4 linked regions of the Notamacropus eugenii genome follow. The protein of the gene in region 4 purifies or fractionates together with the protein of the main gene of each other region. This does not show direct contact. Links are inferred from orthologs where the notes say so. Each region holds a gene or a part of one and is shown on either strand. Other genes may lie near its edges.

What was found.
Region 1: the proteins of TSR1 (region 4) and RIOK2 fractionate together in Homo sapiens (co-fractionation; 3 studies listed by BioGRID and IntAct, with this or other methods). This does not show direct contact. The link is inferred for Notamacropus eugenii from reciprocal best matches to the Homo sapiens genes TSR1 and RIOK2.
Region 2: the proteins of TSR1 (region 4) and LTV1 purify together in Homo sapiens (co-immunoprecipitation; 4 studies listed by BioGRID and IntAct, counting the BioPlex papers as one, with this or other methods). This does not show direct contact. The link is inferred for Notamacropus eugenii from reciprocal best matches to the Homo sapiens genes TSR1 and LTV1.
Region 3: the proteins of TSR1 (region 4) and RRP12 purify together in Homo sapiens (affinity purification with mass spectrometry; 3 studies listed by BioGRID and IntAct, counting the BioPlex papers as one, with this or other methods). This does not show direct contact. The link is inferred for Notamacropus eugenii from reciprocal best matches to the Homo sapiens genes TSR1 and RRP12.

Annotation. Positions count from the first base shown.
Region 1 is NC_092874.1:362,528,625-362,535,916, forward strand, and holds the start of RIOK2 (serine/threonine-protein kinase RIO2), read right to left. Parts: upstream 3,018-7,292; coding exon 2,877-3,017; exon of another isoform or gene 2,570-2,876; intron 1-2,569. UniProt on the Homo sapiens protein: Serine/threonine-protein kinase involved in the final steps of cytoplasmic maturation of the 40S ribosomal subunit. Involved in export of the 40S pre-ribosome particles (pre-40S) from the nucleus to the cytoplasm.
Region 2 is NC_092873.1:232,098,802-232,106,484, forward strand, and holds the start of LTV1 (protein LTV1 homolog), read left to right. Parts: upstream 1-4,664; 5' UTR 4,665-5,429; coding exon 5,430-5,432; intron 5,433-7,683. UniProt on the Homo sapiens protein: Essential for ribosome biogenesis.
Region 3 is NC_092872.1:214,204,104-214,211,765, reverse strand, and holds the start of RRP12 (RRP12-like protein), read left to right. Parts: upstream 1-4,650; 5' UTR 4,651-4,751; coding exon 4,752-4,890; intron 4,891-7,234; coding exon 7,235-7,464; intron 7,465-7,662.
Region 4 is NC_092873.1:40,321,537-40,329,141, forward strand, and holds the start of TSR1 (pre-rRNA-processing protein TSR1 homolog), read right to left. Parts: upstream 3,012-7,605; 5' UTR 2,975-3,011; coding exon 2,878-2,974; intron 2,706-2,877; coding exon 2,602-2,705; intron 1,759-2,601; coding exon 1,539-1,758; intron 1,406-1,538; coding exon 1,271-1,405; intron 1,038-1,270; coding exon 613-1,037; intron 1-612. Other genes in the region: SGSM2 (small G protein signaling modulator 2), read left to right, coding at 5,162-5,218. UniProt on the Homo sapiens protein: Required during maturation of the 40S ribosomal subunit in the nucleolus.

The sequences.
Region 1 (7,292 bases), on a different chromosome or scaffold from region 4:
ACTTTTAACACAAATAAATCAGATTTAAATAATTGGAGAAATATTAATTGTTCTTAGGTGGCCACGGCCAACGTAACCAAAAATGACAAGTCTATCTGATCTTTGTTCAGTGTCATCCCAATTAAACTACCAAAAAATTATTTTGAGCTAGAAAAAAAATAAAATTCATTTGGAAAAATAAAAGGTCAAGAATGTCAAAGGAATTAATGGAAAAAAAAAACGTGAAGGAAGGAGATATAGCAGAGTCAGACCATAAACTACCATAAAGCTGCAATTACAAAACTATCCGATATTAGCTAAGAAATACTATGGTGGATGAAAGAGTAGGTATACAATACACAGTAGTAAATGGCTCTAGCAACCTTGTGTTTGATAACACAAAGATCTTAGCTTTTGGGATGAGAACTCATTTTTTTGGCAAACATCTGGGAAAATTGGAGAGCAGTCTGGCAGAAACTAGGTATGGGCTAACAGCAAAATAAAGTCAAAACTGACAGATGATCTAGACATGAAGAAGAGATATCAAAAGTAAAATAGAGGAGCATGGAACATATTACCTATAGGATTTATGGATAAGAAGAATTTATGAATAGATGAGAGTATTATGTGATGTAAAATGGATAACATCCAGAGAAAGAAGTATGGAATTGGATCACAGAATGAAGCAGACCATTTTCTTTTGTGTTATGTTTTGTTTTATGGTTTCTTTCATTCATTTTAATTCTTCCATGCAACATGACTAAAGTAAAAATGTATTTAATAAGAATGTATGTGCAGAACCTATATAAGACTGCACGCCTTCTCAGGGAGGGAGAAGGGTGAAGGGGGAGGGAGGGGAAAAAATCTAAGATATATGGAAGTGATTGTAGAAAACTGAAAACAAATAAAAAAACTTTAAAAATGGAAATTTTGATGACATTAAAAGTTTCATGACATTTATACAAGTTTTTGTACAAATAAAAACAACATAGCCCAGATTAGAAGAAAAGCAGGAAACTGGGAGAAAAATTTTAGAGAATTTCTCAGATGAAGGTCTCATATCTCAAAGATATAAAGAACTTTATCAGATTTATGATGAGTCTTTCTCCAAATGATAAATGGTCAAAGGACATGAACAGGTAATTTTCCGATGAAGAAATTAAAACTGTATGTAGTCATTATGAAAAAAGGCTCTAAATAATTATTGATTAGAAAAATGGAAACTAAAATAATGTTGAGATATCATCTTACATCTATCAAATTGACCGCAATGACAGAAAGGGAAAATGTCAAATGTTTAAGGGAATATCGAAAAATTGGGACTTTAATACACTGCTGGTGGAATTGTGAACTGATCCAATAAATTTAGAGAGCAATCTGGAATTATGTCCAAAGAGTTATAAAACCATGCATATTCTTTGATCCAGCAAGGTGATTAGGGAAAAAGAAAAAAGAACTTATATGTTCTAAAATATTTATAACAGCTCTTTGTAGTCACAAAGAATTGGAAATTGAAGGCATATCCATCAATTTGGGAATGGCAGAATAAGTTGTGGCTTATGACTGTGATGGAATACTACTGTGCTGTAAGAAATGACAAGCAGGCTGCTGTTAGAAAAATATGCAAAGACTTCCATGAAATAAGAATGCAGACCAGGAGAATGGATGTATACAATAAAAGCAATATTGTATGAAGAGTAACTGAATAACTAAGCTACTGAGTAATATGAACATTCAAATCAATTAGGAAGGCCTTATGATGCTATCTCTTAAAAAGAAGTGATATGAGGGAATATGTACTGTATAGTACTACACATTGTTCTGTTCGCCCATTGTTTTTGAAGAAAATCGTGACATCAGAGAAATGATGACAGGACTTGCACTTGACTTTGTTTTGAGGGAGGGAGGGCTGTGCAGGTCACCAGCCTCACTTCTCTTCCAGAGCCACCTGAATCCAGTGACCAGATATTCATCAGGATGACTAGGGAAGGCCCTTGGCCTTTCAGGGTAAGGCCTTTTCAGGTACTCCCTTAAAGTGAGGTAATGCCCATTCTGTAAACAGGCCTCTTTAAAAAGCAGTCAGGGGATGACCCCTTTAAACAGAAAAAAAGTAAAATAAATCAAGCTGGGAGGGGCAGGAGTCTCAGGGTGGTTGTTTCCACCAGAAACAGTTACTATTGACATTCACTCTAAGCCAGGATTACACATGGTCATCTTTGGGGGAGAGAAAAACACTTCTCCCCATCTATTTTCTTTAAATTGTGTACACACACACACACACACACACACACGTCACGTCTCCGACTCCCCACTCTTCGTGACCCCCTGGAGGTTTTCTTGGCGAAGATACCAGAGTGGTGGGCCATTTCTTTCACCAGCTCATTTTACAGAGGAGGAAACTGAGTCAAGTAACTTGCCCATCTTCCTGGCTCCAGGGACAACCTGTTTCCTCGTCTGTAAAATGGGAAGAAAGACCACAGAACCTCAGGGGGTCAGAAGACAGAACATACGTAAATGCTTCGGAAACCTTTCATCGCTGACCTCTACAGGCTGAACCCGGAAGCACAACGTCCATCCCGAAGGCCCCCTCATTTTCCCCTTGAGGGCGGGATTCGACCCCAGCCAGCGCGGGGTGAGCGTGGCCCCCGCCCGGCCCCAACCCTGCTCCCGCCCGATGCTCGCAGGCCGGGGTCCAGACGATCGAAACTCCCCGGAGATCTAAGAAGGCCGGGCTCGCGGTTCTCCGGGAGAGTCCGTCCCGGTGGCTGGGTTCCCTTTCTCCTGCCCGCCCAGCTCCCCGGACCGCACCCAAGTCAGCCCGCCGGAGGAAGAGGGAGAAACCGCGCCCGTCGGGCCGGGGTCGGGAGAGATCGGGCACGGCGCATCCCGGGTCTTACCGCGGTCAGAACCCTGAAGTCGTCCCGCGTCAGGTAGCGTAGCTTGGCCACGTTCACCTTCCCCATGGCTGTTACAGGAGACAACCCGCGATGGAATGTTCCCAGCACACATGCCCGAACGAGAAGGCGCCTCGGGCGCATGCGTCCTTTGGCTGCCAGGTCCTTGTCGATATATAAAACCCCAAGATTTCCCTTTCGAATAAAAAAGCAAGCGGTCTTCTTTGTTTCGGGAATCAGGGGGAATTACAAGTTTAATGTTTTTCACAGTGAATCAAAGAGCGAAATTTAATCCTGGATGTGGAAAAGTGCTCTTTCTGGGAGGTTTATTCTTTTTAATCTGCCAGGATTGGCTACCTAGGTGAAGTGTCCTGCCGGGGGTGGGGGCCCTGGGAAATTGACGAGTGGTGGGCATAGCAGTTTCTTCCAGGTTAGTTTCTATTGCTGCCTTCCGGCACCGTGGTCTCCTAAAGAGGGTGAGAGAGACAGAAAGACTAGGCTGGGCACTTTGGACCTGGAGAAGTTAAAGGTAAATAAGTGAATAGTAAAATAAAACCAACTTTATCTGGAGGCCCCCTGTAGCACCTTCGGGGATAAGGTGCTGGTCAGAGTGGTTTAGATGCACTGTCATGGACTGGCAAGGGAGTGGACTTGGGAGTCCTCATTCCAGTCCTGGAGATGACAGTTACCAACTTGGGGGTGCTTGGGCGTATCTTGTCATGTCTCTCCCCCCAGTTTTCACCATCTGTAAAGTAGGAATTAGAACCCTTTCTGTTGCAAAGGGGTTCCACATTGTGAAGCTTGGTTGGTTGGTTGTTGTCCTGCGTTCTCCAAGAGGACCAAAATGACATCACCTTGATAAAGTGAAATTTCAGGGTGTCCTTCTGTGACTGATGAGACTGGGAATGCTCTACTACAGGCTGGGCCCAGACAGTCTGTCTGAATATGTGAGGTGAATACTCCAAATTTGCGCCTCCTACATCTACTTTGTTCTGTCTCAATTCTGCTTTGCCATAGAGCACAGCACCCTTTCTGATATGGTCCTGTGCCAGTGTCTCCCATGTTGCACAATCAAATCCAGAGTTCTTGAGAGTGTCCTTCTATCACTTCATCTGACCACCATGAGTTCTCCATAAAATAGTCTTTTTGGCAAGCGTACATTTTGCATTTGAACTCTGTGGCCAACCCATCAGAGTTGTGCTCTCTGAAGCACAGTTCGAATGCTTGGCAGTTCAGCTTGAACAAGGACTTTAGTGTTTGGTACCTTATCATGCCAGGTGATCCTCAGAATCTTCCTAAGACAGTTCAAATGAAAGTGATTCAGTTTACTGGCATAGTGCTAGTAGACTGTCCATGTTTCACAGGCATACAACAATGAGGTCAGCACAAAGGCTCTGTATACCTTCAATTTGGTAGTCAGTGTAAATACCTCTTCTCTCCCAGACTTTTCTAACTGTGTCATTTCATTCCATTCTTGAACATGAACTTCCAGGAAATTGACCTGAATCAGGCCTTTCCTGGATCTGAGTAATGTGCCTGGTCAGAACTATGTCTCAAACTTTAGGTACCCTGACTCAATCGGACTTTTATACTTAGGCTACCAGGAGACTATATGTCAGTTAGTACTTCTAGCCTTGGTTCCCTGAATCAATTAAATCTCACCAGTTTAATTGATTTTCAGGGAAAAACTAATCTAACCTACATGTCTGGAACCTTAGAAGATATTGTTCTTACTTTATACCCTGTTAACTCTTCTATGGCTTAATAGAGAGTTTACAGTGGTGAAAACATTCATCACCCTTTGCCTAGTCTGGTTACAGACTTCTCTAAGTATAATAGATAGGGTGATGAACAACAGCAATAATTGGTTGTTTCCCAGTTGACAAATTGTGAAACTTGAAACAGCAATACTATATTACACATGGTGTTCCCCCAAAAGCTACCAAAGATTCAAACTATTCAAAACCATATCTCATGAAACTCATTATCCTTTTTCTCTGCCCCCATATACTTTTACTTGTTAAAGGATAGAGGACTCAACTGATACAGAGCAAAGCACTTAATGAAATTGAATAATAAAGTAACATGAAAACATTCCTGCCACAAACCTAGAAAATTCTTTTCTCCAAATACGTGCATCATTGGTAGGAAGAGTAGCTATGTGTAGGGATCATGCTGGTAGGAGAAACTCATGCTTCCATGCTGTAGGGTGGATGATATTTTCTTGTAATGACATTGTATTGGTCCTTGGATTTGCACCCTGCTGGGCAATTGCTCTCTCTTGGACTTATATTTGATTATCAAGTTATGTCTGTGGAAGTCTTTGCTTCTTTCCCCTAGTTCTGTGTTCTCTTTCTCCTGGTCATATCATGCCTCTGGTCTTATGGGTTGCTGCTTGTTATAAACTTTTGGTGTTCATCTCATCTCATCCTTCTCAGCTCCTATCTGCTAGGCTGAGGTAGACAACTCCTTCCTAATGTGGGTGGACTGAGAACTCTTTAGTCATCTTGGTTATGACTATCACACCCAGCTAACCAAAGCTAGGCAGAAAATTTTAGGCTAACAGTAAGTCTTTTCTTTTAACACCATGTGTCTGGGGTTGAGTTGTTACCCTATGTATCAGTCAGCTGTCTGAATTAGGGTTCTAAGTTCTGAAGATCTCTGGTTTGGCAGCCAAACAAATTTGATCTAGAACAAAATCTAAGCAAAGAAGATAAAGGTCACTCTTCTCTTTCCATCTAGCCAACATTCTTCCTTCTGTTTGCTGCATGTCAGCCACAGAATCCCTTAGCTTCAATACTGTTTTGTCCACAGAAAAATCTTGCTTACCTCTTGCATACTTTCTATATTAAACCTGCCATGCTTTTCCAGTTTGGGAAACTATTTTTTATTTGTTAGAAGCTTTGAACTTTTTTATATGTGTGTTTTGTCAGAAATCCCTGTTAAAATGAAGTGAGGTTTGTTTGGGAATGTGTACCTAGAGCAGAGTTCCTGACTAAGGCTCCCATCTCTTCTGTGAATACTGAGAAATTGAGGAGTCAGAGGGTGGAGAAGCATAGCAGTGATAATTGAAATGGAAGTCTACCAGGTAAGCTCTATTGAGGACTTCTGTACCACATAATAGCCAAATATAAGATATAAAATTGGCATATAGAAAATATTATAAGATACAGAGAGATGTTATGAGGAATCCTAAAGTTTGGGGTAAATTCATCGGAAGAGCATTTCATACTTTTCAATCTCAGCAACATTCAGAGCAGAGACGATTTTTGATCAGGACAATCAGGTTCCATTTCTATGTACTGAGGCAGTTTCTGTACCCTGAAACTCAAAACCTCCATGAAGAGGTGGCAGATATAGAGGATTACTGTGGTGGTGTTGGTAGGGAAGGTGGAATTCTAGGAGGTTTTGACACATGTATGTGGCAGGGGAAAGTTTTGATTGAGAAAGCATGCTTCTAGATTTCAATCAGGAACATTGCAAGTAAAATCCCATCTTGCTTACTAGTTGTTTGACCCTGGGCATGTCATTTAACTTGTTTACTACAATTTCCTCAACTGTGAAATGGGTATGATAACATATAATAATAGAATAAAATGAGTATAATAATAGTACTGAGGGAAATGATTGTTAATACACAATGACTTGGGGAAATCAAAGGACTTTTCTTTCAAAGTCATGATTTTAAAAAGTTCAGTCTCTTGAAGGGCATTACTGATGAGACTGAACCCCACCCTGGTAGAGTAGCTTTTGTGTTCTGCTCAGGCTTGGGTGGGGCATGAAATTCTTTGAATAGATTGCCCAAGGCACAAGTGGTCTGGGTAAGATAAGTCAAGGATGATATTCCCAACCTCTTATTGAACACCTACTCTTTGAAGAGTACCAGCTGCCATGATTATCTTTGGTTTAAGAAAGAAAGGCCAAATAACCATCCTTTTATCAATAACATGTTGGCCTTATTAATAAAATGATTAAATTATCCAGAAATTATGTCTCTTGAACCTTTTTATTGTCACAGCACCTAAGTCAAAGAGTTGTTGTGAGGATCAAATGAAATAATATTTGTGTGTCTGGCATGTAGTAACTGATATATAAATATTTATTCCCTTCCCTTTTTGTCAGTCTAGTCTGTTTGATGTTCAACCATATGTAGCACCACAGCAATATTCACAGCACCTATGGCAGCTATGAATATGCCAGCATAATTCTGAATCACAAAATGTAACAGACTTTCCACATGGAAAATAGAACCAAAACATTGATTTAGACACCAGAAAACCAAATCCATCATAGTAACAAATAAATCCATCATAATAACCAAGAAGTCTATACACGGTATCAGGCCTTCCCACAAACACTCACAGTCCTGGCTGCCTGTTTCCTCTGTCCTTCCCAACTCTGACTAGTCTGACCAACTCC
Region 2 (7,683 bases), about 190 Mb from region 4:
AGTGGGTAATGAAAATGAAGCTAAGATTGTGGGCTCAATATTCCTAAAGGTCAACTAATTTTCCTTAGGAAGAAAAATTGCTATTCACAAAAGAAATTACACAAGAGAATGTTAGCAATTCAAGACAAACCCATAGCTTCATAACTAATCTGAAATAACAATGTATGGCTTGCTAATGTCAGGTAAGTACTATATATTGATATATAAAATGAGCATCTTTTCTGTACTATGCCAATGTACTCATACTAGCCAAATGCTAGATGAATATATGTAGGAGTATTGATCTCTTCAGGAGCTCACCATATAAAGAAATGCAGCTCCTACCACAGATAATGCTCATAAACCTGCAATCTATAAACTTACTCCAAAATTAAAACTTTTTTTTCTAGGAACTTACTGTCTAACTTTCAGATTTTGAGGAAAACAAAGCTCTCAGAAAACACTGGACATAGTTTCCTGGGTCCATGCTTTTGCACAGAACATCCCATGTGCCTATAATGTACTCTCTCCTCACTTCTACCTCTTAGAATCCCTGGTTCTCTGTTGAGCTCAAAAGCTGCCTCCTATATGAGGTCTTACCCAAGGCCAGTGCCTCCCACCCAAAAAATTAACTTTATGTTTGTTTTGTACATGTGTGTACTTGATGTCTCACCCATTTTAACAGAAATTCCTTGAAGGCTGGGATTTGTTCACTTTTTGTCTTCTCAGTGCTCTGAAAAAGATGTTTTAAAAATGTTTCTTTCACTACTTTACTGATTGATGATTACATGTTATACATATGGTAATAAAAAAGATGTTATTCCATTTAAAAAAATCTGAAGACTTATCACTTTGACACTGAACTTCACATAATTAAAATTTATTCTTGCATGAATTTAGTCCAAATTATTTCTGATTTCCATGATAACAAAGAATAATTTTTAAAAATTTTTCTAAACATTGTAAAATATTAAAACTATCAGGTGATTAAACAGAAAGAAGATAAAAATTCTGGGAAAGATTTTTGAGAGAAAAAATTAACCAATAAAACAAATATCTTATTGTCTATCTTCCCTAAGTTCCTTTTCCATTCTATTTAATATAAGGTTATTAGGTCCCTGTGAGCCTACCACCACATTATTCTCATTGACCAATTAATATATAACCTCATTTTGTGTGTATTTCTGTTTAAAGACATCTTATTTAATATATATTTCTTAAAAATAATTATATGCAGTATTTTCTTTATAATAAAATGTCGATTACAGCATTTTTGTGTAGTGTACTTTACTGTGACTATACTATTTTTTAACTATCATACACATATACACACAGCACATATATACTGTACTCAGTAAAATTTACAGACAGTACTGTGAACAATACTATATATGGTATAATACAGTAATGGAAATAAAAGTCCTAGAAAAAATTAAACAAGGACTAAGCATTTGAAGTTTTATAAAAACATTTACTAAAATCTTACTTTTGGTGGAGCTATAGGATGTGTGATGTGGTGCCTTGTGCAGTTAAATCTCTCCACCAGGGTTTGCCTCAGGAAAACCAGAGAGCGGTTGGTGGAACTTATTCTGCAGAAGACCAAGGCATTGCAAGGGAAGCATGTCAATATCTGGCAACCCTATCTCAGGCGTTTAGCTCTTGCAACTTGTTGATGGCTTTGGCAATTTCCTCTCCTGAACCGGCTTGACATCAGCCTTTGTCTGCTTTTTGGCTTTTCACCTCAGATCTTTAAGCATCTTGGTGTAAGGGGCAAACCCAGTGGAGGTTAGGTGCTTAAATTTCAAGCTGTGCCCAAGCATAGGGTCACATTCTTCCATAATACTGATCATTTCTAATGGAGAATTCCATTCTGATATTTTGGCCTCTGAGAGCAACAATTCTGAGGCTTAGGCAGACTTTCATCACCTTCCTCATTATCGCTGACTCTTTGTTTTGCCATCTCATCCAGGTCTTTGTTGATGGGTTCTACTGCCTTTTCTGCCAAAATTTCCTCCACATTTTCCTCTTTCATGCCAAAGCCTTCTCTACTTATTTGCCATGCATTATGCATTATGCTTTTGACACTGCTCTTTATATTTTCTGTAACACCTTCTAGGCCTACAAACTTTTTCACACAGTTTGACCAAATATTTTTCCAAGTTATTGATAGTAGCCTGCTTGGTGCTATCCCTGGCTGTGCCAAAATAATAACACTACTTATAGTGAATGACTTCCAATAATCCTTCATGGTGATTTCCTTGTTTTTGTCAAGAGCCTTACAAGCCTTGCTATAAAATTCCCTCATGTAATGTGCCTTGAAAGCTTTTACTATGCCCTGATTCAGGGATTGGTTGAAACATGTAGGTTTTGGGGGCATAAAAAGAACTATGTTTGGGTGGGCATTTTTGAGCTCTTCACAGCAATGGACTGGGGCATTATCCAAAATTAACAAAACTTCGAAGGCAAGATTTTTGCCCTGGAGATAGTATTAAACTTTTGAGATGAAGTAGTTGTGAAACCAATCCCAGAATATTTTAGGAGTCATCCATGCTCTTTTGTTCCACCTCCAATGGACTGGCATATGGTTCAGGTTTTTCCCTTTAAGTGCTTATGGATTTTGGGTTCTATACACCATTAGGAGTTTGTTCTTGAAGTCACCCTTGGCATTGGCCCCCAGTAGCAAGTTTGTACAATATTTGCTATATAGCCAGGGGCTTTGGAGGCCAATTGTGTTATATAGGTTCATTTTTCAACATCCTTGTAAAACAAGCCAATCCCTTCAGCACTGAAAGCCTGTCCTTTCACACAACCCTTTTCCTGTGTAACACTTAGCACATATTTTTAAAAATTCTTCCACAGTCCTCCTGATCTGCAGAACCAGTAAGTTGAACAGTTTTCACACAGTATTGCTTTTTGAAGCCTGTGAGCCAGCCAGCACTAGCAGAGAAGGGTTTAACATTTTGCTGACCCTGGGAAACAGGACTATAAATTTCTTTGGCTTTCTTCCTCACCACAGTGCTACCTACTATGCTTTTTTAATTGGTCATCTCATGAATCCATAAATTTAGCCACTTTTCCATCACTTCATCACATACTATAGATGTTAACGGAGCACTTTCTGGAACAGCCTCCTAAACAGACCAGCAAGTTTCCTCTTCCTTTTTCTGGATGTACCCTATCATTGATTCGTTAACATTGAACTCACAGTCAACAGCACTGTAACTCCTGCCCCAACGAAGCTTATCTGATGCATGTGTTTTCTCTATAAGGCTTAGACAGCACTTCAACATTATGCTTGGGGGCCATTTTAAATAGTGAAATCCTCAACAAAAAGCACAAGAATGTGAAAAGTGTGGCAAGGATGTTTGTTTATGGTATAAAAGCTGAACCAAAAGCAAAGAAACATCACTTTGTTTTGACCTCAGCTGGGAACATGCAGGAGGGGTGACTGCATATGTCCAGGAATGACTGCAAAAGCACAGCATAAATTTTAGCAAGTAGGCAACTTTACAAATATGGAATCCAAAAATAATGAGAATCGGGTAAACCTGATATTTTTTGGCACATATTTCAAAGGTGAGAGCATGATTTCAATTTTAAGCTAAATATGGGAAAGATTCTGAATACTTTTTACCAGCTCAGATATCATAGGGAAGAAACTCACGGGAGTTTTGTAAGGAAACACAAAGTGGCTCAAGCACAACCTGAAATTTTTACAGCCTTGAGGATATTCGGTATTCCCCCTAAATAAACTGCTGCAGAACTGGGGGAATGGGACGAGCATTCCAAATATGCTGAAACCAGCCTGAACCTGCAAGCCAATTGTTAAATTTTCTGTGGGAGCATTTACCTCTTGGAAACCTAGGAATTCCAGCTAATACTACAGAAAAAGACTTGATTTACTAATATATTCTCTAAATTCAAAAAAAGGGATGGGGAAAATGATAATAATGTAGATTAAACTTTAAAAATGTGCCTGGTATACTTCTTTTCCCCTCAGAAAGACATTTGTTTAACATTTGCCGGCACATTCTAGGATAAAATCAACCAACTTTGCAATGATGGCATCAGACTTGCAGCTGGAGGGGTCATGTGGTTCAAAGGTGTAACTCACATGGTCACTAAATGATATCCCACAAAATGGTAGTAATGTTAAAAGTACTACAACAAACCCCACAACCCCACAAAATAACATTAAATCCTGTTTAAATAACGGGATCATTCTTGAAGCTGCAAAGAGCCTCAGAGGTCATCCTGCTCAGGGGTCAAAGACCCTCCTCAAAAACGAGGAGATGAAAATGTAACGGGAAAATGTTACCTATGTTTTCTTTAAATACAATTATCTAGATACGTGGTTTTTCTAAGTCAACATGCAGCCCACGGGGACCCTCATCTTATGGTCTCTGAGTCTGACCTCCCTATCTAGCCCCGCTTAGAGTCCACACCATAGGGGGTCTGCTGAAGGAGCTGGGGTTGTTTAAAACGGCGAAGATCCAGGGGTTCCAAGAGAGCTGTTCTGAAGTACTTCAAGTACTGTTAAGTGCCAGAGGGATTAGATTGGATCTGTCGGGCCCAGAAGACGGAACCACGTGCGGCAGGTGGAAGTTACAAAGGTTCGATCTCGACAAGACACAACGCTGTCCACAAGGATAAGCCGGCTCCTCCGCAAGCAGAGACAGGACGGCACTTGTGGAGATGCTCCCATTATGGTTTCTGATTTCTTGGAGACTGGAGATCGGCGGAAGCCGCAGGAAAGCCGCCCGAGATTTGGGCAGGATTGGAGATTTAGGGTCAATGCATTCCCCGCCGACGCCTGTAGAGGGAGCCGGAGAGAAAACAAGCTTGCTCTTCGCAAACCACGCCCCCTCCCAGCTCAGCGGCCTCCACGGTCTCCCAGACAACGACGCCTCCGACGTCTTGGGACGCCCCGCCCCCGGCTTACAAACTGCCTTCCGCCTCTCGGCCCCCAACGGCGCGTGGACCGCTGTCACCCCTCCTTCGGAGGGGGGTGTATATGGATGCCGCTTTCCCTCTCTCCTTCACCCCACAAAGCTCTTCACCGAAATAGAGAGAGGAAATCCCCCTTTCCGGCCTTTCCCTAGCCCCGCGCGAAGCTTCCGGAAGGTGGAGCGAGAGACATTTCGCAAAAGGTCTCGAGGAGAGGGGCGGGCCTCGCGCATGACTCTCTCTTCGAGGATTGGCTTACCTTCTCCGACGCGCGTGGTGACGTATACGGAGCGGGCGCACAGAGCAGATGAGAGGTTCCGGGGGCGTTTTGCTTCCGGAAGTGACCTGCTAGGGCCCTGTGGCCGCCGCGTGACGTGATACCGGCGCGCGAGCGAGTGAACTAGGACCGACCCAGCGTGTGTCGCTCCAACCAGAGCAAGGAATACCTGGGAGTGTGCGCTGACGGCCCAGTCTTACGGACGTGATCCTCTGTCGGCTGCAGCATGGTGAGCCAGGCCACCCTCCTTCCCCGCAACGGGACTTCCGAGGAGTGTAGACGAAAGGGAATTGCCCTGCTGCTAGGCCCCAGGAGGCCTCGGTGCTGGGTTTCGTCCTGACTTCCGTGGGGCAGGTCCCGGTGCTCCTGGTGGCTCTTCCCTAGTGACGTATAAGCCAAAGACCCCTTGTCCGGCCCTCCCTTGAGGAGCTAACTAGGTCCTCCTCCTCCCCCTCCACATAGTTTACACCTGGTAACCAGATTGGTATTTCTAAAGCGCGGGCCTAACTATATCATTATCCTGCTCAGAAGGTTTCAGGTACCTGTTCTGATCAACTACAAGCTACTTAGAGCTCTTTAAAATTGGGTGCCAGATTTTTTGTTTTAATCTCCATCCTTCCAGCTTTTACGTTCCAAAAAAACTTGCTGAACAATCTTCCCCCCACCCCGCTCCCGTAGGACCCCCTGGTTTTTTTGCAAAGGCCAGGCCTGCCCCCCCTTACTGAGGTTACTACATCCTTTCAAAGCCCAAGCCCCTTGTCACGTACAGGGTCTTTTACGTAGTCTTTCTTCATCTTAGTACCTTCCCGGCTAACGATGTATTTTTCCTGCGCGTAATTGAACATCGTTCTTTGCATGTTGTCTCCCCCGCTGTTAGACTGTGAGCTCCTTGAAAGCAGGGCTGCTTGGTTTTGTTGTTGTTGTTTTAGGGTTTTTTGCCTTTATTTGTATCCGCGCTGCTTAGCACCTGACACAGAGTAAGGGGAGGGAAAGGAAAAGCCATTTAGTAAGTACCTGCTTTGGCCAGGCACTGCACTGAATGCTTCACAGATATTCTGTCACTTGATCCTCACAGCAACCCTGGGAGGGAGATGCTGTTTGAGGCAGAGAGCAGTTAAGTGACTTGCCCAAGGTCATGGAGCTATTTTGTGTCTGAGGCTAGATTTAAACTTGGTTCTTCCTAACTCCAGGCAGGAGTCTTTTCATTGTGGCACCTAGCTACTCTCTCGGTAAGTGCCAAAGGGAGGTTTCTACTTCCCACATTCAGGAATCTCCCTCCAATACATCACACCGCTTGTCAGTCCATTAAATTATTCAGTTTAATATTTAGGTGCCTGTGATGTCTGTGCACTTTGCTTATGCACAATTCTTGTAATCTGATGAGAGAAAATTTTATTTTTATATAAATATACACACATATATACATACACACACATATGAGAATGATGGAAACGAAGGTAGAAGAAATTTAGGTAAAGTGGGATAAGAAATTTGAGTTGAAGAGTATATTCACCTTGGGAAGGTGGCAGGAAAAAAGGACTGGGGAAGCTTCATGAATTGGTCAGAGATGTATAGGGAATTTCTGTTTGTCTTTAGTTTGGATTAGATAGATCAGGAGTTGGCAAACTATGGTCTCATTAGCTATTTTTGTATAGCCCTCAAACTAAGAATAGTTTTTACATTTTTAAATAAAGTCATTTTCTGGCCCCTCGACTAGGTTCCTTCCAAGTTTTGGAATTCTCTGAAGAGGTTGCACTTGAGTTAGGGCCTTATTGGATATAGGTGAGATAGGGATCCCTTCCAATGATGAGACATTCTATGAGGAAAGATTTGGGGATGGGAGAGGGCAAGATGAGAACAGGGGATGGAGAGTGACTTTTAGTTTGTCTGGAACCTATAGTTATAATAGTCTGTAGAGGGAATTTGTGGGAGATAAGGCTGAAAAAATCAGTTGGAATTCAGTTAATCAGAGGCAAACTGTTGGGAAACTGCTCAAGTTTCTTAAGTAGAAAGGTAATATAATCCGAGGAGTGAGTTGGGAAGATTACTTGGACAGTGATGTGAAGAGTGTTTAAAAAGAGAGAGATTCCTGAGGCAGGACAAATACTTGGGTGGCTATTCTATTAGTCTAGGCTACAACAATAATAGTTAAGATAGCACTTTAAGATTTACAGGACTCTGTACATTTATTATATCCTTTGATCCTCACAGAAACCGCATGGTGTAGGGGCTGTTATCCACATTTTAGAGAAAGAGTGAATGACTTGTCCAGGGTCACACTGCTGGTAAATATCTCTGGAAGGATTCAAATTGTGATCGTCCTGGCTCCTCTAGCACTCAGTCTACTCTATCTGCTGTAACACCTAGTTTGCAAATATAGTTTTTCAAACTTTTAATTGCCGTTTATGTTAGGTATTATTATAAAAATATTTTACTTACTAAAACTTAATTGGAATAAGACTTTGGGAAACCTTTTATCA
Region 3 (7,662 bases), on a different chromosome or scaffold from region 4:
TGGTATATCACTTGGGCCCAAAAAACAACCAGAAAGAGGAGGGTATAGTGGGCTGTATCACATTTTCTATCACTTGAAGCTAGAGCAATGTTTTCCATTTATTACTGTCTTGGCTGCCCTTTCCTGTCTTTTCTAGCACTTAGCCCTCTATAACTTTCTTTCTGTCACAGCTTGCCCTTTTTATTTTCACCTTAATCAAAGCAAATAAGCTTGAGGACCCCCACCAATAACTTTGCCCTTTCCTCAAGGTTTACCAAGGAATATTACTAGTCTGTAAAACTGGGGGGTTATACTAGATCAATTAGTAAACAGGTATTTATTAAGCCCTTACTACGTGCTAAACACTTAGGATACAAAGAAAAACAAAAATAAGGTCAGCGTTTTCCAAATCTAAAAACGCTGTGTTGGGAAAAAGATCTAGCTTTTGAGTGGGTTCCATTCAGCCTTCTGAAGCCTCAAAATAGGAAGGAAATAAGCATTTATTAAGCATCTACTATGTGCACAGTGCTTTAAAATATTATCTCATTTGATCCCCGCCAGGTTGTTGTTGTTCAGGTGTTATCATCCCTATTTCACAGTTGAGTAAACTGAGAGAGACAGTGGCTAAGTGACTTGCCCAGGATCACTCAGATAATAAGTCTCTGAGGGTGGATTTGAATTTGGGTCTTCTTGACTCCTGGTCCAGCACTCTATTAACTGTATCACCTAGCTTCTTCAAGGGCAAGGTATGAGGAGCTTAGAAAAAAGAAGAAGCAAGCAGTAGGAAAAACAGAATGTAGAGGGAAGGAGGATAATGAGATGTTACTTTTAAAATATATAAATTTTAAGAAGTTTTTTTAAAAAGGATTTTTGATAGTAAAAGTTTTGGTCCAAGGAATGACAAGGTTCTTCAGGTGTTTCAAAGGGCATTGTGCCAGACTGCCTCACAGCAAAGGAGGTTCTGATGGGTAGTCCTGCAGGAGGTTGTCTGATCCCTCCATAAGGGTTTGGGAAATGGAGAAACTACAGTGCAATGAGTCATTCAAAGAACCCTGAGCACCATATTATTAGTGAGGCAGTAGGTATCAAACCTACCATTGTATTGTGAGTAAAATGTAATGAGATTCATGAGTTTTTCTTCAATTTTTCCTTTCTCATCCCTTTACAAGTTTTCCCAAGATGGGAGGTCTTAAGACCAAATGGCCACCCTTAAGACAACCCTTACGCAGCATCTGAGTTAAATCTTAGAATAATCATTGCAATTTCCCCTTTTCTGCTTTATAGCCATGTAGTCTCCTTCCCTTTATTAGTTCTAGCTCAGGTTATATTTCATTGTTGCTTGGGTGCAGGGAGACCAACAAATAAACAAGATTTAAAGAAATTGAGCCAAAGAGTTTCAGTGACTTGCCCAAGGTCACACAATCAGCAAGGGCCTGAGGTGACATTTGAACTCAGATCTTTCTTATTCCAGGTCCAGCACTCTATCCAGTGTGCCACTAGCCACCTCTATGCATATTGTTATCTTAAGGGTTAACAACACATTTTTGCTGTTGTTGAAAGGGGTTCAAGAAACAAAAAAAAGTGAGGAACCATTACTATAGGAGAAGTTCTGTAAGTAATAACAGCAGGGATAGCTGGCAGGACAAAATTTCCCCCACCCCGTGCCTTTAAGATCTCATAGGCTCTGCTGCCACACAAAGGTTGAGGGTACACATTAATCCTGCTGGATGAATGGCTTAATGTGTTAAATGCTGTATCATTGTGCAAGCAATAACCCATTCAGTAAACATATTTAGCAGGGGCATTTAAAAGCACCCCAAGCTTTCAATAGAAACAATTTCTTGTTTTATTTCCCAGATGTCCAATAAAGCTACAATGTGGTTTAAGGAAATAGGCTTTTAATATCTCTGACTACTTTCTCTCACTTCCTGAACCTGTTTTCCCATCTGTAAAGTGGTAATAAATACTCGCATTCCACACCTCACAGTTTGGCCCGAAGAAAGTGATTTGTGAACTGCAGGGTTACAAAGTTATAACAAGCTGTAGTCTCAGTCAGTTACAAAACTGGCTGACTGCTGATTTCCTCATTCAACTAGACCAGTAACTCATCGATGCTCTATTATCCCTATAATTAAGAACAAACCTTCCCGACTGTTGCCCAGAGTGTTACAATAAAAGGCATCATTCTAAACAATCCTGATACTCTATATGAAAACACAGAGGTAAATTCAATGATATTTGCTTTACAGAAGGATTCACCTAAAATCCCTTTAAATAAGGAACCACACTGGTTCATTTTAAATGATTCAATTTGCAAAAGAAAATTTTTAAAGGAATGTATATCCATCTCTCGCATGAAGCAAGGTGCTCCTTTATTGTATATTTACCAAAAACTCTATCCTAGTATCTCACAATTTGCTTAATATAGAATAAAAAGGTAGCACCAAGTATGTTTTAGCCAAATTTACCCAAGCTATCATAATTTTGCACTGAATATATTATAAATTGAAAGTTGGGCTCCCCTACTTTTTCAAAAGGTTGCTTTTAAAAGATGAGTAACTATGATTAAGAGGCTGAGAAAAGGTTCCTTTCTTTCATATCTCGATGAAACTAGACCTAAAGTTCTGTGACTTTTTTAAAAAAGTATTTTGAAATAGGAGATGTTCAAAATAGTTTTATGGATGAAGTAACTGAAACCTACAGCTAAGTGACTTATCCAAAGTTCCAAAACTAACAGAGGCAAAATATGAACCTAGGCTCCTGCTTACAACCTCAGGGCTCTTTATCAGCACCTACCATCTGGTGCTATGCTGTGAGATTACATCTCACTTCACCAACAAACGTCCCCTCAATCAGGGATGCTCCCAGGCTGTGGGATCCAAATGAGGTGAAAACAATAGCTCACATTTATATAGTGCCTTAAGGGTTGCAAAGCAACATCATCACATTTCTTCCTTAAAACAATCCTGTGAGGTAAGTGATACTCTACCACTCATGTAAATTGGGTGCAGTGAGACAGAAAATCTAGTGGATTTTTCCTGCCAATGTGAAGGAAGAAAGAGTTGGGGCAAAGGGCAGATGCTTGTTAATATTAAAAAACTGATTTAAAAAAAAGCTTGATTCACTCCTTGATTTGGGGCAAATCAGCTTTCCCTTAGTTTCTCCCTCTATAAATAGGTTTGTTGTGAAGAAAAACTTACTGTAAAGTGCTATAGAAATAGATATTACTATTCTCAGTCCCAGATTTGCTACAGAGTAGCTATTTAAATGGGGGGGGGGTGTCAGTCATTTCTCTTCTCTGAGCCTCAGTTTCTCATTTGTAAAATGAGACCCTTTCAGGTCTGACATTCAATGATTTTATGACCTGGAGCCTTCTAGGATTCAGGGAGCTAGATTCAATGGCCCTGTCATAGCTAGCAGTTACTAACACAGAAGATTCTCTCAGAGAACATTGCAATGGAGATTAGCCAGAATCAGCAGCTCTCAAAGTATGATCCCTGGGAAGTCTTTTCAGGGGACCCTAAGGTCAAAACTATTTTCATAATAATACTAAGATGTTGTTCACCTATTTAAATATTCCTTCCTTTTCTTCTGTGTGAAGTCGGGTTTTCTTCACACACTTCAACCAAAACAAGATAATGAAAGCAGATTGAAAGCAGAGGCAGATATGAGAATCCAGTAGACATTAAAGCAATTTGCAAAAATATGTTAAAAAATGCCACTCTTCTCACTAAGTTTTTTTTTACCATTCAAAAATGTTTGTTAATGTATAATCTATAATAAATTGTTTCCCTTTCAAAGAGGGGCGAAGGAGGAAGGGAAAGAATTTGGAACCCAAAATTAAAAAAAAATAAAATGTTAAAATTGTTTTTACATGTAATTAAGAGCAAAAAAATTAAATAATTACATATATAAATATACAATAAAATAAAATAAATAAATATGATAATAAAATAAATAAAAAACATAATTTAAAGATATGTTACCACTTTATATGTATACTCGATCTCCTACTGCTTGCCTTCTCAATGGGTGGGGAAAGGGTGGGAGGGAAAGAAATTGGAACTCAAACTTTTTAAAAATAAATATTAAAATTGTTTACATGTAATTGGGAAATATTTAAAGAAATAAATAAAAATATATTAAAACCCAAAAAATTTATCTAAGTAGGTAATGCAGTGGATAATAACGCTGGGTCTGGAATCAGGAAGACTTATCTTCCTAAATTCAAATCTGGCCTCAGACACTGTGTGACCCTGGGCAAGTCACTTCACCCTGTTTGCCTCAGTTGCCTCACTGTAAAATGTATTTTTGCCAAGAAAACTCCAAATGGGGTCACGAAGAGCCGGGTAGGATTGAACAATCGTTTTTTCATTTCTAATACCGTATCGATAGCTCAGTCCTCCCTCAGACACGTCGTCTCTCTCTGACGGCCCGGTCTTTTTCGGCAAGGAAGGACGGACACACACACATCGACAGCCATACCCCACGTAAACAAAAGCTCCTTGAAGTCCTCGACAACGGGTCTTGAGACCCGAAAGTCTGAGAATTGCAGTTCAAACAATTTCTAAGATCTCTAAGACCTCCAAGGTCCAGACTCACAGAAACCGGATGTTGACGACTTCCACCATGGTAACCAGGGGAAAGGATCCGGAAGTGACTGGCCGGAAGCGGAAGTGAGGCGCTCGGAGCCGCACGTGGGTGCTGTGCGTGCCGGGGGCTTTGGCGAACGCCGCGGCGTCAGGAGCTGCTACCGCCGTGGGCCCCCAGCCATGGGGCGGTCGGGGAAGCTGCCGTCGGGCGCCTCCACCAAGCTGAAGCGCTGGAAGAAGGGACACAGCAGCGATTCCAATCCCGAAGGTCGGCGGCACCGGCAGGCCGCGCGCAGCCGCTTCTTCAGCCGGCCCTCAGGTAGCGCCGGCCCGGGCCGGGGCCTGGGGAGAGGGGATGGGTGTCCAGAGTTGGCCGCGGGTGGGCGGGGGCCTGGAGGCTGGGGGCCTGCGTTGGGGCGGGGCCTGAAGGGGCTCCGGGACTAGGGCCCTTAACTCCTCCCCCCGTGGGGTCCGAGAAGGGAATGCGGGGAGTCCAGGAACTTCCCCCCTTATGCTTCTTCGTATGTTCCTGTATAACTGGTGTCCGTAGTAATCGTGTTGTTCATTTTGCGCTTTAAAAAGCTGTCCTGAGAAGGGGCCGTAGGCGTCAGCGCGCCCTGGGGGGTCTTTGACCCGAGGAGGGCCGAGGAGTGCCCTAGGAGTCAGGCCTTGGTGTCCTGGGAGCATGTTTGGACAGAGATTGCGGGCCTCGTGAGGCTGAGTGGCCTGTGGGATCCAGGGAGGAGGGGGAGTGGGAAAAGCAAGAGTCACTCTTGAACCTGTGAGATTTAAGGAGGACTTTTAAAAAAGTCAATTTTTTTTCGCAGTAGAAGTCTTACGGATTACTGCTGGTGCTTAGGGTTGTCACTGACGGGGGAATTTTTGAGTCTCATTCCCAGCTGGATTCAACAAAGGAAGATGGGGAGGGAGAGAGGGCATTTTCAGCTTTGGAGACAAGCAAAGGCACGGAAGCAGGAAAATGTTTGGCCAACAAAGGAGAGAACATGTGTGAGAGAAGGCTAGAGACACTAATGTGGCAGTTGAGTGGTATTGGGAGAGAGGGTGGCATTTGGGCCAGATGGAAATGGGGAAAGTGCCTCCGTTCCTGTGGAAAAGCTTGGAAGTTTTGGAGCCATCAGTTTGAATGAAGCATAGGGTAGGGACATGTTAAGCTACTAATGGGGAGAGAAAATGTAGACGTAGAATTGACAGGATTCTGGCAACTGGTCAGGGCCATGGTTCTGAACTTTGGGTGTGTGTTTCATGTCAACCTCATTGGCAGTTTGATGAAGCCCAATAGCATTTTTTTAATGAGTAAAATACAAAGGAAACCAGTTACATAAAATACAATTATCACAATACTTTTTAAAAATAAATTTATGGACTTCAGATTAAGAACTCCTGAATTAAGGATAGGAGAGAGAAGAGCTAAAGATACCTTGAAGGTAAATTTTTAGCTTGGGTGATGGTAGAAATAATTGTACCAGTCATTCATTTAGCTAGATTTAGGTGTTAGGCTTTCAGCAAACACAGAGTATAGTCCCTGCCCTCAAAGAATTTACTTTCTGGGATGTAGGTTGAGGAGTAAATAAGGACTATCTGTACAAAGTAACTTCTGGGGGAAGAACTAACAGCTGGAGGGCCTGCTATAAAAGATGCAGTCTTGAAGGAAGTTGCACCTTCTAAGTAAGGAAGTAATCAATACATTCTAGCTAGAAGGAAATCCTGTGAAAGGTATGAAAACAACACAATTCCTGTTACATTACAATAGGGGAAGATATCATAGATAGGGAAGTGGGCCTAGGAGGGATGTTTTGAGCAGGGCTGCTGAGTGGAGCCATAGAATGATTGTTCGAAGCATCCTTTCTGTGCATGGTAGAGTTGATTTCATTACTATTCCCAGAGCAAAAGCAAGAAGTGACCAGGTGAGAGGGGGGACACATACAAAAGATGCTGTAGAGGTAAACTAGCCAAGACTTGGTGACTTGATTGAATGTAGGTGGTGAGAGGGGGGAAATTCAAGGATAATTCCTAGATTTGGAACCTAGGTGGCTTAAAGGATCATGATGCCCTTATTAACAGGAATTGTATGTGGGACTTCCAAATGGAAAATGTTATAAAAGCAGGATGCAGGAGAGGATGGGGATGGAAATGTAGCTGGATAGAAGTGGTTATTGAAGGCAGCAGATTGGATTGGATTGCTGAAGGAGGAGAGAGTATAAAAAGAAATGGGGAGCATCGGTGGCATTTAGTATATCTGGGAAGAAAGGAGCCAGTTGGGAGAGGAACAATCAAATCAAATGTCAGGAAGGGTTGTTGAGCAGAGTAAGATGCCACTGAGACCTTTAGAAAGATGATAATTGGAGGAAGTAGTTGGATTTTGTTTCATTAGTGACTTGAGAGCTGTTTCAGTAGGACAGTGGTGATAGAAGTCAGGTTGCAGGGGTGAAGAAATAAATAGTAAGGAAACAGAGAGAGCAAATGGAGCCATACTTGGAAAGAGTTTGGTGAAGAGGAAAAACCCAGTGACTTGGGGGGACAATGGCATGGTTGAAGGGAAAAAAAAATTATTTTTAGGATGAGAGACCTGAATATAGAGAGGCAGGGATTAAAGAAAGTCAATGACCTCTCTCTATAAAGATTAACCCTTTTCCTCTTCTCAGAAAAAAGCGATCTAACCGTCGATGCCCTTAAATTGCATAATGAGCTGCAAGCTGGGCCTCTGCCCTTGGCTAGGGAAGAGAAAACTCAATCCCTCATGGAGAATGAAGCTGGCTCAGTGCTCTCTGAGAAATCTTCAGGCACCTTCCTGAGTGGCCTTTCTGACTGTACCAACGTCACCTTCAGCAAGGTGCAGCGTTTTTGGGAGTCCAGCTCGGCTGCTCATAAGGAGGTATGAGTTGTAGGCCCTCTTAGGATCTGTGTTTCAGTATGACGTGTGAAGTTAGTTTGTTTGGTTTCTCAAACTCAACTTCAGGTCTTGATATCAACTGATTTTATTCGGCTTTGGTTACAAATTAATTTGTCTAGCACTGGTGAACTCTTGGTGGAGTTGAAAACTGATCCAGCCATTCTGGAGAGCAATTTGGAA
Region 4 (7,605 bases):
AACCTGCTGGTAAATTTTCAATGGCTATTTCCTAAGTAGTCAGGTCTGCCTATTTTCCACCCTCCTCAGCAACCTCCATCACTCTCCAAGACATCCCCCCCACCTCTAGTAGGGCCAATGTCTTTGCTAGCATATGACTATGTGCTGCTCCTCCTTGCACCTGTCCCTTTATCCATTTTATTCCCCTCACCTGGAGAGTTCTTCCCCTTGAGGGAAGGTCTCCCACCTCCCTGGCCTTAGTACAGCCCCAAATCATATTCACCTGCCTGACTCATGCTGAATAGTGATCTGCTAAAGCCTGGAGATTTTTTCAGACCAGCTGTTACCTAACCATGTCTCTCCCACTGATGATTTCATCTCTCAAACCATGACTTAGATAAAGCACAGAGGCATCCCTAGTCTATTTTCAGATGGAACGTAATGGACTAAAAGCATCGATTAAGCACTTACTACGTGCCAATACAGATCTACAGAGTTAGCCATAACTATCATTCTCTTTCCAGTAACAATTAACAAAAAAGAAAAATTTTTAATCAAAAAACAAAAACGAGCTGCCAGCTTCCTTGGAAACCAGCCGATCATCAGCAAGTACAGCCCAGTGATACCACACACCTGCATCACCATGTCCAGGCCTTTGCTGGCCTTGATCACCCTGGGATTTAGAGGAAAAGGGTCTGGGGGTGCGTCAATCTGCTTGATCTGGAAATCACCATGCCCAACGATATGCAGGAGCCGGTTTACGTTGAGAGTCTGCCCACGAACATAGCCTGAAACTTTTAAGGTGCCCACCAAGCTGCTCTCTTGGCTGGGCACAAAGTCAGCAGCATGGGCAAACAAGTAGGAACGCCGGTCTCGGAAGGCCAGATGCCGCTGCTTCTGGTTAGCCAGATGTCGCAGAAGCAGCACTGCATCCTGCTGGGTATCCAACTGGAGCAGTTTGTCTCCTGGAAATCGCTTATCTAAGGCCTTGCTCAGCTTCTTCTTGGCATCTGCTTGTTTCTTTGGGAGAAGGCCCCCAACCCCCTGGAGGGCTAGAGCTGGGCACAAAAACAGACAAGTAGTTATGAGCCATGAAAGCCCACTGCAATTAATGAACCGTTCACTCTGCACTAAACACAGAGCACCAAACCCAGCATAGAGGTGGCAGACAAGGGACGGAGGATAAACCCACAAACTAAGACACTCAATCAGTACTATGTGGGTAACTTGGCCCCTAAGAAGAGGATCCTACCGCTCTCCTAGAGATGGCTGATAATCATAATTCACTTACAATATGTAGGAAGCCCCTGAGCAAAGAGGCAAGAGAGGCAGTAATCGCCTGTGCTGTCCCAGCCCTCCACTGGATCCAGAACAAACAGGATGGTATCAGCCACTTTGGCAAGGTCCAACAGAGTGTGCAGATCGCCTGGATTCACAAGGCATCAACAAGACATCACAAACACTCAGAAAACACTAAGAACACTGGCCAACTAACTATGACAGGGACAGTCCAAGTCAAGCTCAGCCCAACGCTGCTCCTCCCTTGGCCTTTCACCCACCTGGTTTTGCAGATGTAAAGAACCATCGATGCTTCAGCTGAGGACAGAGCAGCATGAAGCTTGGCATTCCAGCTTGCTCCCCCACAGGCACAACCTTCTTGTCTGTGTTCTGGAGCAGCTGCAAAGCCTCACCCAGGGAAACCCTCTCATGCAGGGGCACCAGCAGCACCTGATGAGGTGGTCCATCCTTGCTGCCCAGTTGCCTCTTTTCTGCCAAAACCTGAGGACAGAGAAGAGAGGCGGGTGAGCACTTCACAGGCAGGTCCACCTGCCCTATTTCCCTCATTCTCATACTCAGTATTCCATTCAAATGATCTCTCTACCTTGAGGACCACAGAATTGAGAAACTATCTAACCCAACCTCCAGTCTTAAGGAAACAAAGTCTTATTGAGGGAGGGAGCTTGTTCCGGGTCACAGCAAGGCCAGGATGAAATTGCTGGTTCTCCAACTCTTACATGCAACAACATTATTTGGGGGTACCACACTGTCTCTAAAGGCATCCTGCACCCTGGACCAGGATGCTCTATCTACAGCGAGCGATGGGGCCAGGAGAAGAATGCTGACCAGACCTCTAACTCAAGGCAGGGCCTCCTCATCAACCACTATGGGGCATCTTTGTGTCGGACGCTGGGGGAGAGGCCAGAGACACGAGGACAAAAGTGGACTGTCCCTGTCTGCCAGGAGTTTTTGTTCTCCGTGAGATTTACAGCACGGAGTCAGCACCAGGGAACTAAGGGGGGTGGTCCGGGAAAGGCAGCAGGGGAGAGGAAGCAGTGCCGGGAGGCGAGGGCGGTTCTGAGCAGGGAGTTTCGTGATGACTTATTTCTTGGGAAGATTACTTCGAAAACAGCGTGGAGGAAAGACAGAGAAAGGAGAGGCTCCACAGGGAAAGGTCCAGTAGGATATGGCAGTAACTTAGACAGGAGGGCGGCCTGAACCCACGCGACGGCCACGTGAGAGGGGAGGAAACTGGAGTTTCGGCTAAACTTCGGGAGATGCCGCGGAAGGGAAGGGGGCCGCTGGGGTTGGGGGCAGGCGTTCAGCCCCCACCCCCCGCCTCACCGCCTCCTTCTTCTGCTTCCGGAGCTGGCTGGCCCGGTGCCTCTGGTCCACTCGGCTCAGCTCCTTCCTCCTCCTCTTGCTCAGGGCCTTCACGGCCACGCGACCTGGAAGGCGGCCCCGGGAGGGCAGAGAGCCGACCGTGAGTCCGGGGCCCTGCGGCAGCCGAGGCGGCCGACTACGGCGGAGGCCAGGGCGGAGAAAGGCCTCCTGCGCCCGCAAGGACGGAGAAAGGGCTGAGCTGAGCCCTCCTTCCGCCCGCTCCCGTGACCCCCTCACCTTTGCCGTCCCGCTGCGCCGAACCCCGACCCCGGTGGCGCCCGCTCTTGTGGGCCTTATTCTGCTGTTTGAGCGGGCCGGCGCGATGAACCGCCATATTGCTCCCCACGTGCGTGAACCTACGACTTCCGGTGCTAAGCCCAGGGGTTCCGGTTCCGCCAGCACAGAGGCCTGAGTGGGTGGGGGCTCTGCCAGGGGGCGGAGTTTCGGTGGAGGGGCGGGGCTTTCCCCAGTTTCAAGAGTAGATCACTCCTCAGCCAATGGGAGTATTTGAGACCTACAGCCTATCGCGCTCTAACCTTCCCCCACGTGGTCACCTGCGGACTTGGGGGCTTTAATTGCAAGTTCGGTCAGGCTTCCCCAGAACCCTCCCTCGGCCTCGGAGTTTGCTTCTTGTCTCCTGGTTTACGAGAATACCCTGCTTTAGTTGCGGGGGATGGGAGGGCAGGTTGGCTATTTGCTTGTGACTATGGAGACCCCACCCCCAGGCCCTTCCGAGCTTCTGGCACACAAGGACGGAGCCTCCACTGCTCTGCGTCTGGTCCTGCAGCCCAGAGCTGCTCGTGACTTCTCCAATTCACATCAACCGTTTTTTTCCTTCCTTCCTTTCAGGGCCCTAGTGTCCTTTTCCTTTCTGCAGAACTCCCCGGGGAACTAAAGGATTTGGAATTGGAAGGGCCCTGGGAGGTAATCTCATCACCATTATCATCAAAAATTTATGAGGCGCCCACTGTGTGCCAGGCGCCGTGCTCCGCCCTGAATGCCACAGACAGACAAAAGAACAACCCACCCAATTTTCTAGGTCTCCCAAGTCACTTAACAGAAAAGAAAATGGGCTCAGAGAGGGGAGATGCCTCTCAGCCTAAGTCTTCTCTCCTAACTTCTGGAATTGGGACTAAGCGAATGTTTCAGGCTTAAAGCAAGTCCCTTCACCTCTGCACACACACACACACACACACACACACACACACACACACACACACACACACACACACACACACACACACACACACACACACACACACACACACACACACACACACACACACACACACACACACATCATCCTGTGACTGTCTCTGGCCAAACTAAGCCTAACTCGACTCCAAGACCCAGAGTTTGCAACCCTGCCATCGCTCCCCACACCCCAGCTGCTGCGGATTGTAAACAGGGGGTACCCGCCCTGGAACGAATCCGGAGGCAGAGTCGAGTCAAGCAATATCAATTTATTAAGCATCTTTTACGCACGAGGCACTGTGCTGAGCACGGGGGGTGGGGGTGGGGATTTAAAGAAAAGCAAAAAAAAAAAATAGCCATTGCTCTCCACGAGTTCACTACATGCAAACAATTTGGTACACAAAGATATAGCCAGATATACGTTGGACTTCATCTCTGAGAGAAGGTAGAGGAGCGGAAAGAGCGAGTGAGCGAGAGAGCGAGCAATTCATGTTTATTTCATCACCCAGATTCCCAGCCTCCAGCCTGGGGTGCTTCTCCATCCCTTCGGAAACCCTGCTGGCCTAAGGTTCGCCCAAGTCCCGAGCTGGGGCGGAGGATAGCTCCTTGCAAGCCCTGAAGGACTAATATTACTGCTCTAGACCCTGCCACAGTTACGGGGTTCTCAATCCACGGGGCTCGCCTTGTAGACGCTCCCCTCCAGTTGCCTATGCCCTCGAACTGATCTCTCTGCTCGGCAAGAGAAGCCGTTATACTTGGGTGGCATCCACCTTTTGGGGCCCTCTACTTTTCAGTCGGGTAAAGAGTCTCCCTCCTCTCCCCAAGCCTCCCACTTCCCCACCCAGGGGAATCCTGTTGCATTGTCCCCTCCTTTCTCCCACCATTCCCGGGTCAAAGGAGGTGGATGGGTGGGGGGCCCTCGCAGTGCTCCAGACGCACGCCCTCGGGACTAGGGGTGCGGGGGTGGGCGGGGGGAGTTCGTTGCCATGGCGGCGGCTGCTGGATGGCACGCGGCTCCCAGGCCAGCCCTCCTCGCTTCCCCCGCCCCAGGTAGACGCTGCCTCCCCCTCCCGCCTCCCCAAGCTCCCCCGGCTGTGGGAAGGGGCCGGGCCAGCCTCCTGACGTCTGTCTGTGCCGGGCTCGGAAGATGGCTGCGGAGGGGAACGGCGGGCAGCGGCGGCTGCAGGGTGCCGTGAGCGCGGCGGCAGCGGCGGGCCGGGGCTCCGCCTTGCCGGCGGGCAGCTGAACCGCGGAGAACCGGACCAGGAGCGGGGCCAGTGGCAGCAGCCGGGGCTAGTCGGCGCGGGGCTCCGCTCCCCTGGGCACAATGAGCCGCACCGAGGACGCAATCAAAGAGAAATTACTGTGGAACGTCAAAAAGGAGGTGAGGTTCGCGCCGGGAATGCAAGGAGCCCGGTCCTAGTGGGTGCACCCCAACAAGCCCCAGCATGGTCGGGAGATAGGACTCCAAAAGGTCCAGCCTCGGCGTGGCCCAGTGCTTTAAGGTCCCCTTCTTGCTTTGGAAGGACCCTCTCTGATTTGGGAAGACCCTGTACGAGGGGGAGAGTCTCATCCAGCGTTCCCCGGTGCTTGTTTTCTCCGCGGTCCCTGCAGCTCCCCACCCTATGACGGCAGCAGCAGTTCGGGAGCGGGGAGGGGGGCCAGGGGGGAGAGGTAGTTCCTGTGGAAGAGATTGAAGGAGGGGGATAAGGTTCATTCATTTGAAACCCCGCAGGAGGGAAACGGGGGGGCGGGGCGCGGTTTCTGAATGGATTCCCTTGGGAGCCGGGGCAATTCAGGGCACCCACCCCCAGCTCTGGGGCTCGAGGGTCGTTGAAGTTGGAAGCTTAGCTTCCCGGCTCCCGGGACCTGGGACTTTGCTGCAGAAGGGTTTTCCGCACCCAGACTGTTTCTCCCTCCTCCCACCCCCATAAGCCAAACCACTATCGGGTTCTTGCCTGAGAAACACCCGTGCGATCTTCTACATTTTCAGCCTGTGGGAACCCTTGACTTTCCAAATAGGGATGCCCCCTTCCCCAGTTTCCTTGTACCTTGCCACTCTGGCCTCTTCTATTCCCTGTTGCTTTCAGATGCCATTTCCCCCTTCCATCAGTGTGATTCCCTCCCTTGTTATGGTCTTAGCTGCCCTGCCATGTTCTCTGCCCTTTATGGGGTTCATCTCTGAAAATGTCCAATCGACCCAAGCATTTATTATTATACTCAAGCCAACCAAGCCCCTTTCTCTGCATCCTGATCTTGGGGCCCTGTCTTCCAACCATAGACATCCCAATATCCACACACCCCAACCCTACTTCTGAGCTATTTGAGAGCAAATGTCCCTAGGGAAAAGAGAACCCCTCCCCTCAGAGCCTAGAGGGAAAGGGGGAATTCTTTACTTGGGGCATGCTGGGCTGTGTGGTAGACCAAGGCTTAGATGGTCTCTTAGACCCTGTAAAAGGCTAAATGGAAGTCTGGCAGGATCCAAGAGGCTGGTGTGGTGACCAATTTCAGGACCCAGGGTAGGCTGGTTTCAGGGGTCTTTGGGGGCAGGGATACTGCTTCTTAGCAAAGAATCCTCTTTTCCTTCCTTCAGGAAGGACTGCACTAACCCACTCTTAAACCCAAGGTTGACTGCCTTTCCTTTGTATATCCATTCTCTTACTCCTTTCCACAAAGGTAGGGATGAAGCTTCTGAAATTTGAAGGATGCCTCCTAATTCAACCAGCCAGTCAACAAGTATTTATTAAGGGTTTCCTATGCACCAGACACTCTACTGAGCTCTGTAAGGTACAAAGAAAGGCAAAGACAGTTCTTGCCCTGGAATATTGAACATCCTAATCTCCCCTGTTAGTAGTGAGATTCCTGAATGCACCTGAATGAACATAGCCAGGAAGACATTAAACACACCAGATCCCCAGACAGGCAGACTGATGACCAACTGAATCTTACCCAGGGGAAATAAATAAAACCAGCTCACAAGTAGAAAACAGACTCTGTTCTCAGGGGAGATGGGCCGGATGATGTGGGAAGCAGGACACACTGATAAAAAAGCAAACTAGGACAAAGAGCCTAGCCTAACCGGGTTATATTTGGACAATGCTGAAAATTGGTGAGGTTTGTCAGGTGAGGGGGAGGCCAGGAATCTGAAGATGTCGAGCCAGGCCATCATAGGATCATAGATTTAGAGCTGGAAGTGAACTGAGGGGTCAACCACCTCAACTTTACAGATCAGGAAGCTGAGGCCCAGAAAGGTTAATGACATGCCTGAGGTCACAGCTATTTAATGACAAAGTTGGTTTTTTAACTCAGGTCTTCTTGACTTCCAGTCCAGCACTCTTTCTTTCCACTGTTTCCTTAATGAATGAGACCTAATCAAAATGAGTGGTTTCCAAACAGGAGTAAGGAGGCATGCCTGTAATTTACAAGCCCCAGGAATCAGCAAGGCTTCTCACATTCCCTGGATTAACCCTGAAGTTATTCACATCTCCACCTGTAGGACTTTAGAAGTAATTGATTCTGGGGCAGCTAGGTGGCCAGATAGCTAAAGCACCAGGAGTCAAGAGGACCTGAGTTCAAATTTGACCTCAAACACTTGACACTTTAGTAGCTGTGTGACCCTAGGCAAGTCACTTAACCCTGATTGCCTCAGGAGGAAAAAAAATGAATTGGTTCTGGGAAACTTTACCTTGCTTCTCACTAAGTGGAGCCCCAAGCTAAAAAAAGTCCTCTTGCAGGCAGGACCAGACTTTCTTTAATGTGGAATAATAAATA